Linked DNA regions of Arabidopsis thaliana. The protein of the gene in region 2 interacts with the protein of the main gene of each other region in a biochemical or structural test. Each region holds a gene or a part of one and is shown on either strand. Other genes may lie near its edges.

Region 1 (4,190 bases), on a different chromosome or scaffold from region 2:
TTAGTATTGCATGTTCGTATCAAGCACAAGCACCAGCAATTGAAAATTTGTACTGCATGCAGCAAATATTTAAGTAAGGGAGACATTTTTTTACTGTTTTGAACTAGTTAGAAATTAGAAGTGTTGATTACTTTTGAGTTGTGCCTATTTTGCTAGTTTTTCTTAGTCTTGGTTACGAAATTTAGCTGGTCTACTGGTGTTCTGTGCTTGATTGCGAATATTGCATGCAAAATGGATCCCATAAACATGTGTCGTTCTTAGGTTACTTAATTTCATATGACCTCTCAAGCCGCTACTTCAGAATTTCTTTGTCATGTAAGACATCATTAGAACTATAGATGTACTTGTTGGTTTCCATATCTCTGGTCTCTATGGCAGTTGAAGGAAAGAGAGCCTCAGATTCTAAATTCTCTGTTCGTGGGACTGCGTTTTTGCTGGCTTCTGATGCTACACAGTTTCTTTGTTTCTGTAATAGATTTTAGATAAACTTTTGTTGATACTTGCTTTCTGTTAATTTTGAATGAAGCGCCAGAAAACTTTTATAAAGGGAATGTAATGTTAAGTTTCAACACATTTCTTGGCTATCTACTGTTTTGTGCCTAAACTCCAATATGTTGCAACGCTTTCGAATTTTACCAGCGTTGACATTGATGATATTGCATGCAAGTACCCTCGTGTATAATTTTGCATACAGGGGTACATGAGAATTCATGTTTTCTTGTGGAGAACATATCAAAGATCTCATAACTTAATATTGTTTCTAGCTATACTACTAGTTCTTTTCTTGACCCTGGCTCCAATTTATTGCCCTTGACACAGGAAGTGTTTTTGCCGTAAGATCTGTTCATGATGTTGAATGCATCGGGTATCCCCCTCTAATTGACAGAGGTGAAGCCCAAGAATTGGTTTTGACCGGGTGGGGGTTGAGATAGACCACAATAACGGTTATATCGTCGTGGAAATGCCTTCTTACACCAGGATGGATCTCTGTTAGGTCTGAGTATCTCATCTCTCTTTTCTTTGCTGCTTCCTTCAATGCAGCTTTAAGTAGTCTCCTTGCTATTCCCTGTGATTGTGAAGGTATTAGTATTAACGAATAGTTCTTGGTGTGCATTGTGCTAGTATGTAACGTATTTGTATATGGGTTAGGCATTGAACTTACTTGTCGAGGGGAATTATGCACAATATCAACAGCTTCCTGGTTGCTAAGATGCTCCCAAAGCCCATCTGAAGCAAGAATTATAAACTCATCTTGTGGGCTAAGCCGCGTAATGGTGACTGATGGATCCGCACTAAGGATTGGCTTAGTGAAATGTTCTGGTAGTCTGAATTTGGGCAGCAAAGGTTCTCTGTTGAACTCTGCTCTTTTGAGGTATGCATCACCTATGGATCTTGTGACCTGGTTAAAGGTCATAACACATTTGCTAGTCAGTTTTACATCCTTACACAAGATAGGCTTCAATATATGATTTTCTTAAGCTTTTGTATTTCATAGAAACTGATGAAGCAAAACTCTGTGCAGGTTATCAGATGCGTTATCATGTATGAATGTTTACCTGGATAACGCCTTTCACACGCCACAAGCGGTGCTTCATCACAAGAATGGTGGGGTCATTAGGATGCAATGACCATAGCTCTTGCCTCGCAGACTCAAGATTGGCATTGTGCTCTACAGATAACTGAACAGCTCTCACTCCACCTCTCTCAGATCTGCCCAACACAGCTCTGGAATCTCCCGTGTTTGCAATATACACCAATCCGTTGCATATCACTCCTGCCAAGCAACATGACCCCACTGATGCCATCTGTGGGTTCGTAGGCCATTGCTTCGTCACTGTCTTGAGAAAATCTTTGTCTGTCTCGGCAAATGCTTTGCTGATCACCTGCTCTGAAATCTCCCTACCCTCGGACGCAAACTCTGTTCATGTGAGACCAGTGTTAGTGTGCCTGGCAGATTCAACAATAAAGGAAATAAAAAAAGTCGGTGTCTTACTCTTTAACTTGGGGAAGATGTTGTCTGCAATGAATCTGGAAGCCTCTGGACCTCCATGGCCATCGTAAACTCCAACAAATGTGCCTTGAACTGTCGGATTGTTGAATGTAAGCGGCCCTGATTCGATCTGGCACTGATCCTCCATCACACTGTTGGCTTGGATCATTGCCATGGAAAACTCTCCAAAGGTGTGAAGACCAAGATCTTTGTACCATGTCAAACCATCAACCTTTGTGGGATTGATCTTACTTCTCTCCATACCGGCACCTATTCTCCAACAGGGTTTAACCATCTTTCTCAGGTATGTAATCTTCGAGCAATATCGTAATATAAACAGAGAAGAACTCTATATAGAATAAATTGATGGAATAATGATAAACTAGTAGTAGCAGTGCTGGTTGTGAATTATGAGATACAAGTTTAAGGAAGGGACCATATATATATAGCCGTGGAAGCCCTAGAGTAAGTGTGAAGGTGTTGGAAAGCAGGGAAAGAGGCCAAAAAGGGTATGGGTCAAAATAACTGAAAAATTAAATGGTTCTGAGAGTTAAGACAAGAGGGCAGTAGTTTAAAGTGGATATTCAGAGATTCTCCTCTTTACTGTTCGATGATGATTCTCTGTCTTAGTAGGGCTGTCATATTCTTTTCTACTCTCTCCTATATTTATAACATCATGTAGTTATTATTGCGTTAAAAGTGTCTCTCCTTTCTTAGAGGTTAATAATCTTGTAAAAACTTAGGAAGCAAGAATGTTCTCATTATATGATTAATGACTTCTTAGAGGTAACAATATCTCATGTAAACGTCTGTTTTCACATTGGTTGTGTGTTAGTGTCTTTATTAACTCATCTTGTAAATGAGTTTTTGGCTTTTGTTTGCAAAGTGGTAATTTGTGGGAAGAAAATGGATAGAAAAGGAAAGGTCATAGGATGCATGTGTGGGCGTGGGTTTTGGGAGCATTGAACTTGGAACCATTTAAAGATTTGAGAGCTGAGAAAGACTGAAGAGAGAGGAGAGAAGACATTTGTGGGGCGACTGAGGAACACTCTTAGCTGTCTTAACCCCTACAGGTCTTTGCCCTTTTCTCAGTCTCTCGTCTTTCTTTTTTTTACCTTTTTCTTTAATGTTATCAAAAGCTGATCTCTTACTTGTTGTGAGATTCAGATCGAAATTCATGTCATGGATAATTATGGGGCTGAAATGAATTTTCAAAGAGGATGGATCTTTTTGGTACTTTTGCTAAGTTCCATTTTGCATGACCCCTCATTGGCCTTCCTCTGTCCCTCCTCGTTTTTTCTGTTCATAAGGATCCACCGATTTGATGCTACTGTAGAGAGAACCACTGTCGTGTGTTGATAGACCAATTTCATCAACGAGATTGTTTAAATTTCTATATGTTATCTAATGCATATGTCGAAGTTAGATCGAGTTTTCGTTTTTCGTCTATCTTTTTGTTGTGCTTCGAAGTTAAGAATTCAACAAGTGGGTTACACAACTTCCACTTCCACTTGTTTTTTTTAATGATAATAATCTCTTGAGACAAAAACATGTTAGGCTCCCTAATTCGATCTTTTAAAACAAGAAAAAACACACACACAATGATTTATAGTGGTTTACTTTAAATATCAAAATTACGTTATCCTTTTGTTTTTGTTTCTTCTAGCTCACGAGTCACAAACAATGAGAAATGATAACAATGATTCAAATAAGGAATACAAGTGGATCCGCAACTTAGGCTCCACAAATATAATAAACGGATTAAAAGATACCAAAAAAAGAATTTTCGTATTGGATGCATATAATTTAGGTTTAACCAATTGTTATATTGATATTGGATTTACTTCTACTTGCTTATTAATTTTGTTGAAAGGTCTTTCATTCATTTCTTATATTTGGTTTCGCATATGACGGTTCCACTAGTTCGATAAGGCCAACCTCATCAATTGGTGTGACTTGACGCATAATTTGGTAAAAAGTTTGATGCAATATATAGATCTAATTGAAGTCAAATCAAAAGAGTAAGAAAATCACGTGTAAGATAGTCTAATACAAATAGAAAGAATGGTCCAGGTACATTTTATCTTAACATATATTCACAAATAACTTTCATAAATATTGAACCATTTTGTGAGAATCACATGTGGCCTTGGAACGTATTGAAGGGTCCTTGAATGCACCATTACAGTACATACAGTGT
Region 2 (7,952 bases):
CATATATATGACATGATAAGTTTTTAAATGTGTTTGTAAGAGTCATTTAAGTCAACTAGATGATAATATATTATATCTTATATTTTAAATAATTTAGTTAAGGTTCATTTGAGCTGCAAAATTAAATACATAGTGAACTTATTTTACTAGATTACCAAAATTATATTGGTAAAGAAATATTGTGGCAAACTGTAAATAAGTGATGTCTTTTTGTATTTTATTCAAATAAATAGTATGATATATATGTAAAGTATGTTACTGTATACAATAATCTAAAACTTGTTACCCCATGATAAAAAAATGTGATAAATAAAATCATTTTGTTTACAATTTTTCTATCCATCATTTGTGAAAAGAAAAGAAAAGACAAGAAATGATTTTCGTATCTTGTACATATTCTCTTTACCTAATTTACGAGACGTTTGTTTAGACTTGAACACTTATTAATTAGGACATGAATCCTAAGAAGTTAAAACGTAGAGGAGTTGGAAATGACGAACTTTGTATTATTGGGGGACCCATCACAATCAAAAGTCAATTTCTCAGTATATCTTCAGAGGGAACAAATTTAATTAACACTATGGTTTTTATTCAATTATTAACATGTGACATCGTTCCCATTGCTGACCTTGCCATGAGGCACACCTTGGAAGGGCCAATATTTTCATTATCAACGTTAGGGCCACAAATAACTATATATATTAAAATTACTATTCTACAAATTACTACTATATAAATTAGTCCGTCGTAACTAATTACGATCCACACCAACTGATATAATGTAAAAATAGTAAGAAAAAGTAGTTTTCTTACCTGCTTAATCAAGGTATGTAGTTTTTGTTATAAGCATCTCTGTCAAAATTTCAGAGATTTAAAGTGTTTTGGCTTGGAGAAGTATTTGTATGGTTGAGAAAGAAAAAATGGAAACAAAACCGAAGTAACCCATTATTGCTTATCGAAAAAACAAATTTAGAAAAAACGAACCTAAACCAGTTGGAAAACGATTTTGTTAAGAAAATATAGTATTAGTTGAAATTTTCAGAAAGAAATATCTTTCTTTAAACAAAACCTAATAGGTGTCCAAAAAAAAAAAAAGAAAAATGAAGAAGAGGACAGGCTAAGCAGCAAGTAGTATGTTGCTTAGTCAAATATAAATTAAAAAATCCAAGCAATGTATACCTCCACCAAATATTTCTTTCTTGATATAATGATTCATGACAAAAGAAAGAAAAAAAACACCAAAGTCTATGATCTAGTAATTAAAAAAAGAGATATTACAAATTAGTTTCTCTTATAAGCTACTTCCTCCTTAGAGTCCCTTTTCAAACTACTATAAAACATCAAAATATCTCAAAATAAAAAGAAAATAAGAATTATTAACGGTAGAAAATTTTGTTGTTTAAAATGAACAATTATTCCATAATTAAAGTGTAATTAGGACCCACAAAATATATACAAATTTGATTCGGGTTCATAAGCCAAAAATATTACATTAATCAACGGTCAAAGGGTGATTAAGAACTTAAAGAGGCAGCAAAATAAATAAAAAGGGTAATAAATATAGAGAGACTACTTGGTAATGGGACCCACATAGCCAAAACGGCGGAGAAAATCGTCGTTTTTAGTGGCTTATAAAAAGAGGACTCGTATCGACTCTGCAACAGAACCACCTAATCTCTCCTCCTCTCCTTCTCTCTATTTTGCCGGAATACATATGATCGAGTGAAACGGCGGACAAAGCTGTCGTGTTGAGTACTAATTCGCCGTCGTTTTTCTCAGTGAAGGAGTGGTGAGAGATGTCGAGTCTCGAAGATATCAAGAACGAGACTGTTGATCTGGTATACCATTTTTTATCCTCTGTTTTTATTTTATGCTCACAAACTGTTCGATGATCTGCCTGAATGAGAGTAGATCTGTATCCACTTGGTGGCTTTAAAGTCTTTCCTTGGTTATTACTTACTCTCATTATGGTTTCGTTTTTTATATATACATTTTCATCGATTTAGTTTTGAATATGTGAAATTTGTTTAGAAAGACTATATTTTTGTTTCTGGGTAGTAATTAAGTCTAAGAAACGTTTGGAGGACATGAAGAGTTTGTTCATGAGAAAAAAGTAGATCTAAGCATGTGATATACTAGTAAACAAACAAGATAAAGAAAACAGAGTCTCTTTTTTCAGTGGTGGAGCTAGCTACGTCTCAATAAAGTCCAAACCTACTTGTACAATGTTTTGTCTTCTCTTTTTTTGGTTACTAGTAAGAATTTATTTGGTGGTATTTAGAAAAAATAAATATGACTTTAATCAAATCTGTTACTTAACACGAAGTTCGGATTTTTTTTTTGGTTGTACCTTTCCGTGGTACGTTTAACTTCTCTGTCTTTAGCAACCAACAAAAAAGAACACATCTTTTGTGCAGACGTAACTTCTTTTCTGTGTTTCTTGGGACAATAATTTGAATCTTTTTTATTAAAATGCTACTTTTACATAACTTTGGACTGTATTTACGCGACCAAGCCTCGATTTTTACGCCGGGAAGTGAGGGGAATCTTTCGGCGCGTGTGTTTCACGTCGCCATCACGTTGGTCGGTGGTGGCGGTCCCCACTTCACCACCGCTATTTCCCCCCCGCCAAAAATATTTCATTGTCACCGAACTAGTCAACGACTTTTTTCCAACTATTGTACTTATGAAACAGAGTAGATTTATCTACGGTTACAAAATCATCAAAGTTTTCTGTTTTACTTAAGAAAAGGTTTCTCCTTTTTAAGGTTTAGAAACTTGTTTTGTGTATGTGAAAGTTTGAGTTGTTTGGATTTGGTCATCTGATCGAATTTGCTTTTGATTTTTTCAGGAAAAAATTCCGATTGAGGAAGTTTTCCAGCAGCTAAAATGTTCAAGGGAAGGATTGACAACGCAGGAAGGGGAGGACAGGATTCAGATCTTTGGCCCCAACAAGCTCGAAGAGAAAAAGGTCTGATTTTGCATTTGTAGCTCTCAGATAAAATACATAGTTGGTCTCCTTTTTTTTTGTTACTGAGTGTTTGGTGATTTGTGCAATGAAAATTGACAGGAAAGCAAACTTCTGAAGTTTTTGGGGTTTATGTGGAATCCACTTTCATGGGTCATGGAAATGGCTGCAATCATGGCCATTGCTTTGGCCAACGGTGATGGTAGGCCTCCGGATTGGCAGGATTTTGTTGGTATTATCTGTCTGTTGGTTATCAACTCTACCATCAGTTTTATCGAAGAAAACAATGCTGGTAATGCTGCTGCTGCTCTTATGGCTGGTCTTGCTCCTAAAACCAAGGTATATATATGATAAGAGAATGAATGGTGTGAATTTGTTATACAGAACTTTCTGAATTTTCCCTAGAGCTAATGTTTTGGTTCTTGTTGTGATGTTTCTCTGTTTCAGGTTCTTAGGGATGGAAAGTGGAGTGAACAAGAAGCTGCTATTCTTGTCCCAGGAGATATTGTTAGCATTAAATTAGGAGACATTATCCCAGCTGATGCCCGTCTACTTGAAGGTGATCCTTTAAAGGTTGACCAATCTGCTCTAACTGGAGAGTCCCTTCCTGTAACCAAGCACCCGGGTCAAGAAGTTTTCTCTGGTTCAACCTGCAAACAAGGAGAAATCGAGGCGGTTGTTATTGCCACTGGGGTTCATACCTTCTTCGGTAAAGCTGCTCACCTTGTGGACAGCACTAACCAAGTTGGACATTTCCAGAAGGTTCTTACAGCCATTGGGAACTTCTGTATCTGTTCCATTGCTATCGGTATGGTGATTGAGATCATCGTCATGTATCCGATCCAACGCCGAAAGTACAGAGATGGAATTGACAACCTTTTGGTCCTCTTGATCGGTGGTATCCCCATTGCTATGCCTACAGTCTTGTCCGTGACCATGGCTATTGGGTCTCACAGGTTGTCTCAGCAAGGTGCCATCACCAAGCGTATGACTGCCATTGAAGAGATGGCAGGAATGGATGTCCTGTGCAGTGACAAAACCGGGACACTAACCCTCAACAAATTGAGTGTGGACAAAAACTTGGTCGAGGTTTTCTGCAAGGGTGTGGAGAAAGATCAAGTCCTATTATTTGCAGCTATGGCTTCCAGGGTTGAGAACCAGGATGCCATTGATGCAGCCATGGTTGGGATGCTTGCTGATCCAAAGGAGGTATAACCCTTTTTGGTTCACATGTTATTTGTAGTTTTACTGAGCGTCCAAGAAACATGTTCTGATGTTTGATTGGGATTTTCACAGGCTAGAGCTGGAATCAGGGAAGTTCACTTCCTTCCATTCAACCCTGTGGATAAGAGAACTGCTTTGACTTACATTGACGGCAGTGGTAACTGGCACAGAGTCAGTAAAGGTGCTCCTGAGCAGGTGATGGATCTTAATTTTACAAGCTAATCCTTTTTTTTTCTTACCTTTCTTTTTTATACTGATTTGATTCTCCCAACAGATCCTCGAACTTGCCAAAGCCAGCAATGATCTTAGCAAGAAGGTGCTCTCCATTATTGACAAGTATGCTGAGCGTGGTCTTAGGTCGTTGGCTGTTGCTCGCCAGGTACTTATTCGCCATTAATACTGATAGTTCCAGTCCCTTTTTGCTTTTCTTTTCTCAGTGGTAACAAATGTTCAACTGTTTGTCTTCTTATTCCCTTTTGTAGGTGGTGCCAGAGAAAACAAAGGAAAGCCCAGGTGCGCCATGGGAATTTGTTGGCTTGTTGCCACTTTTTGATCCCCCAAGACATGACAGTGCTGAAACAATTCGACGGGCTTTGAATCTTGGTGTTAACGTCAAGATGATCACTGGTAAATTTGTCTACCCATCTATCTTGTTGTGCTAGCTATACACCTTCACAAGTTCCCCCTAACATTCTCTTGAACACATATGTGGCCAGGTGACCAACTTGCTATTGGTAAGGAAACTGGTCGCAGACTTGGAATGGGAACAAACATGTATCCATCTTCGGCTCTTCTTGGTACACACAAAGACGCAAACCTCGCATCCATTCCTGTTGAGGAGTTGATTGAAAAGGCTGATGGATTTGCCGGAGTCTTCCCAGGTTATAATCTGCTTATTTATTGTTTGGATTATAAACCTCACTATATGTTCATTGCAAAGGTGGTGATGTTAGTTCTAAGCTTTGTTTTTTTTATTGCAGAGCACAAATACGAAATTGTGAAAAAGTTGCAGGAGAGGAAGCATATTGTTGGAATGACTGGTGATGGTGTCAATGATGCCCCTGCTCTAAAGAAAGCTGATATCGGTATTGCTGTTGCTGATGCTACAGATGCTGCTCGTGGTGCTTCAGATATCGTGCTCACTGAGCCTGGACTCAGCGTTATTATCAGTGCTGTTCTCACCAGCAGAGCTATTTTCCAGAGAATGAAGAACTATACTGTGCGTCTTCTCCTATTTTTCATCCTTAATTTATTCCAACCACTTGCTTGCTTGCAATTGAAACTAATTACTCTGTTCTATTTTTCTCTCTTGTTACAGATCTATGCAGTCTCAATCACCATCCGTATTGTGGTATGCAAATAAATCCGTTTGAGTTCTGGCCCTTGTTGGTTTTATCTTGGATTAATAGTATGCTGATCATATTGCGTTGAAACTTTTTGCAGTTTGGTTTCATGCTTATTGCTTTGATATGGGAATTTGACTTCTCAGCCTTCATGGTTCTGATCATTGCCATTCTTAACGACGGTGAGCAATGGCTGTCCTTTTGTATAAACCTCAAAATTTGTTTACTTTTTCTACAATGTTTACTTATATCTTTTGGTATTGTGTTGCTATCTTGATCTTATAGGTACCATCATGACAATCTCAAAGGACAGAGTTAAGCCATCTCCCACACCTGATAGCTGGAAACTTAAAGAAATTTTTGCTACTGGAGTCGTTCTAGGAGGCTACCAGGCCATCATGACTGTTATTTTCTTCTGGGCGGCGCACAAGACTGACTTTTTCTCGGTACATACAATTGAGCTAATTAATTTCTCTTTTACAGAAGTTTTTTCTTAGGTTCTTGTTCAGAGTTGTAAAGTAAATTTCACATTGGATTCACAGGACACATTCGGTGTGAGGTCCATTAGGGACAATAACCACGAGCTAATGGGTGCGGTGTACTTACAAGTTAGTATCATTAGTCAAGCTCTGATCTTCGTCACAAGATCAAGGAGTTGGTCTTTTGTTGAACGTCCTGGAGCATTGCTGATGATTGCTTTCCTCATTGCACAACTGGTAAGTTCATCAAATCAACATTTTAAGGGAATTCTTGTTTGGTAAAAAGGTTCTCAAAGAAGCACCCGTTAAATCCATTCATTCTTCCAAATGCAGATTGCTACTTTGATTGCGGTTTACGCCAACTGGGAATTTGCAAAGATTAGGGGTATTGGATGGGGATGGGCTGGTGTGATCTGGCTATACAGTATTGTCACATACTTCCCATTGGACGTTTTCAAGTTTGCCATTCGATACATCTTGAGCGGAAAGGCGTGGCTCAACTTGTTTGAGAACAAGACGGCTTTCACGATGAAGAAAGATTACGGAAAAGAAGAGAGAGAGGCTCAATGGGCACTTGCTCAAAGGACACTTCACGGTTTACAGCCAAAAGAAGCTGTTAACATCTTCCCTGAGAAAGGAAGTTACAGAGAATTGTCTGAGATCGCTGAGCAAGCTAAGAGAAGAGCTGAGATCGCTAGGTAATAAATCCGATCACACACGATTCTTTTTAATCTAAGTGTATTTTTTTGTTGGAATTAAACACTAATTGAATTGTTATATGTTAAACAGGCTTAGGGAGCTGCACACACTCAAGGGACATGTGGAATCAGTCGTGAAGCTAAAGGGCTTGGACATTGAAACTCCCAGTCACTACACTGTGTAGTAAAACCAAACATATGACTGATCTTCGATCCTCTCATGTTTTGTCTTCTTCTTCTTCTTTTTTTCTTCACCACCTCTTATGATTATTATTCACATAGGGAGAGATCTTTGTTTATTGCCATAACTCTTCCCAAACCTTATTGTTAGTGTTCTTGTTTCTCAAATATGTACTTTTGCATAATTTGCTCTTTTGAAGAAACAAGGCATGCCTTTGTGTTTGGCATTTGGCACATGCACATTCTCTTCTTTGCTCTTATTCCATGAGCCTATGTAATCTTAATCTTCTTCTTTTTCGTAATCCAACTTTTCTTCCGGCTTCTTTACTTTTATATATAGTACCTAAATGTTATTTATACCTAGGGACAACAAACAATTTGCTTATTTAAATCAAATTTTGTTTGTTGTAAAGAAGGGAAATAACCATAATTTTTTCTTTTTTTTTTTCACTGAAACCAAATCAATTAAATAACACTATCCTTTAAAAATGCCATTAAAAACATGACATGAGACAAGTTGTGTGGAAGTAGTACGGCTAGAATCTTAAGAGAAATAGAGAGATTTGGATGCGTGCGAGTGACTGTGAGACACGTGCAAAGATATGGATGATGACTTCAAATCAATGTTATGACTTTCATAGTTTACACATATGTCATCCAACTTTCCTCCTTTTTAGATATTTACAATTTCGGCGTTTTGTTTTTCATATTCATCGAATTTTTTGGAAAGTAATTCTAGTCCAGTAGTCCTAATTTTTGTTTACATTTTAATGGTGCACCTGTAGTTACTGCAGCTGGAACATATTGGTGATCTCTACTAATGTGTAGCTTTTATTTAATTGAAGATTTGTTACATCTGATTTTTTGTAGTCGAAAGTTCATATGTTTTCGCTAAAGGAGAAAAAAAACTTGCAGGAATATAAATATATACACAAACACAAAGTTTGTCAGGTTAAAATGATTAGAATATTAAAGTTTGGAGATTTGCTCATAACATTAAAATAATAAATTCAGGAAAAAAAGACAACATAAGAGTTTTATTTTAGGCAGCACATCGTCT

Evidence for each region.
Region 1: of the proteins of HA2 (region 2) and AT5G02760, one has a biochemical effect on the other in vitro, tested with the Arabidopsis thaliana proteins (one study listed by BioGRID).

What each region holds. Positions count from the first base shown.
Region 1 is NC_003076.8:623,472-627,661, reverse strand, and holds AT5G02760 (Protein phosphatase 2C family protein), read right to left. Parts: upstream 2,409-4,190; 5' UTR 2,286-2,408; coding exon 1,994-2,285; intron 1,919-1,993; coding exon 1,557-1,918; intron 1,400-1,556; coding exon 1,163-1,399; intron 1,067-1,162; coding exon 845-1,066; 3' UTR 538-844; downstream 1-537. UniProt on the Arabidopsis thaliana protein: Dephosphorylates and represses plasma membrane H(+)-ATPases (PM H(+)-ATPases, e.g. AHA1 and AHA2), thus influencing negatively plant growth and fitness. Promotes the apical hook maintenance of etiolated seedlings.
Region 2 is NC_003075.7:14,769,765-14,777,716, reverse strand, and holds HA2 (H[+]-ATPase 2), read left to right. Parts: upstream 1-1,658; 5' UTR 1,659-1,796; coding exon 1,797-1,838; intron 1,839-2,851; coding exon 2,852-2,971; intron 2,972-3,070; coding exon 3,071-3,307; intron 3,308-3,415; coding exon 3,416-4,177; intron 4,178-4,264; coding exon 4,265-4,387; intron 4,388-4,466; coding exon 4,467-4,571; intron 4,572-4,674; coding exon 4,675-4,819; intron 4,820-4,908; coding exon 4,909-5,411; intron 5,412-5,510; coding exon 5,511-5,543; intron 5,544-5,635; coding exon 5,636-5,717; intron 5,718-5,820; coding exon 5,821-5,981; intron 5,982-6,077; coding exon 6,078-6,251; intron 6,252-6,347; coding exon 6,348-6,712; intron 6,713-6,803; coding exon 6,804-6,897; 3' UTR 6,898-7,152; downstream 7,153-7,952. UniProt on the Arabidopsis thaliana protein: The plasma membrane H(+) ATPase of plants and fungi generates a proton gradient that drives the active transport of nutrients by H(+)-symport. The resulting external acidification and/or internal alkinization may mediate growth responses.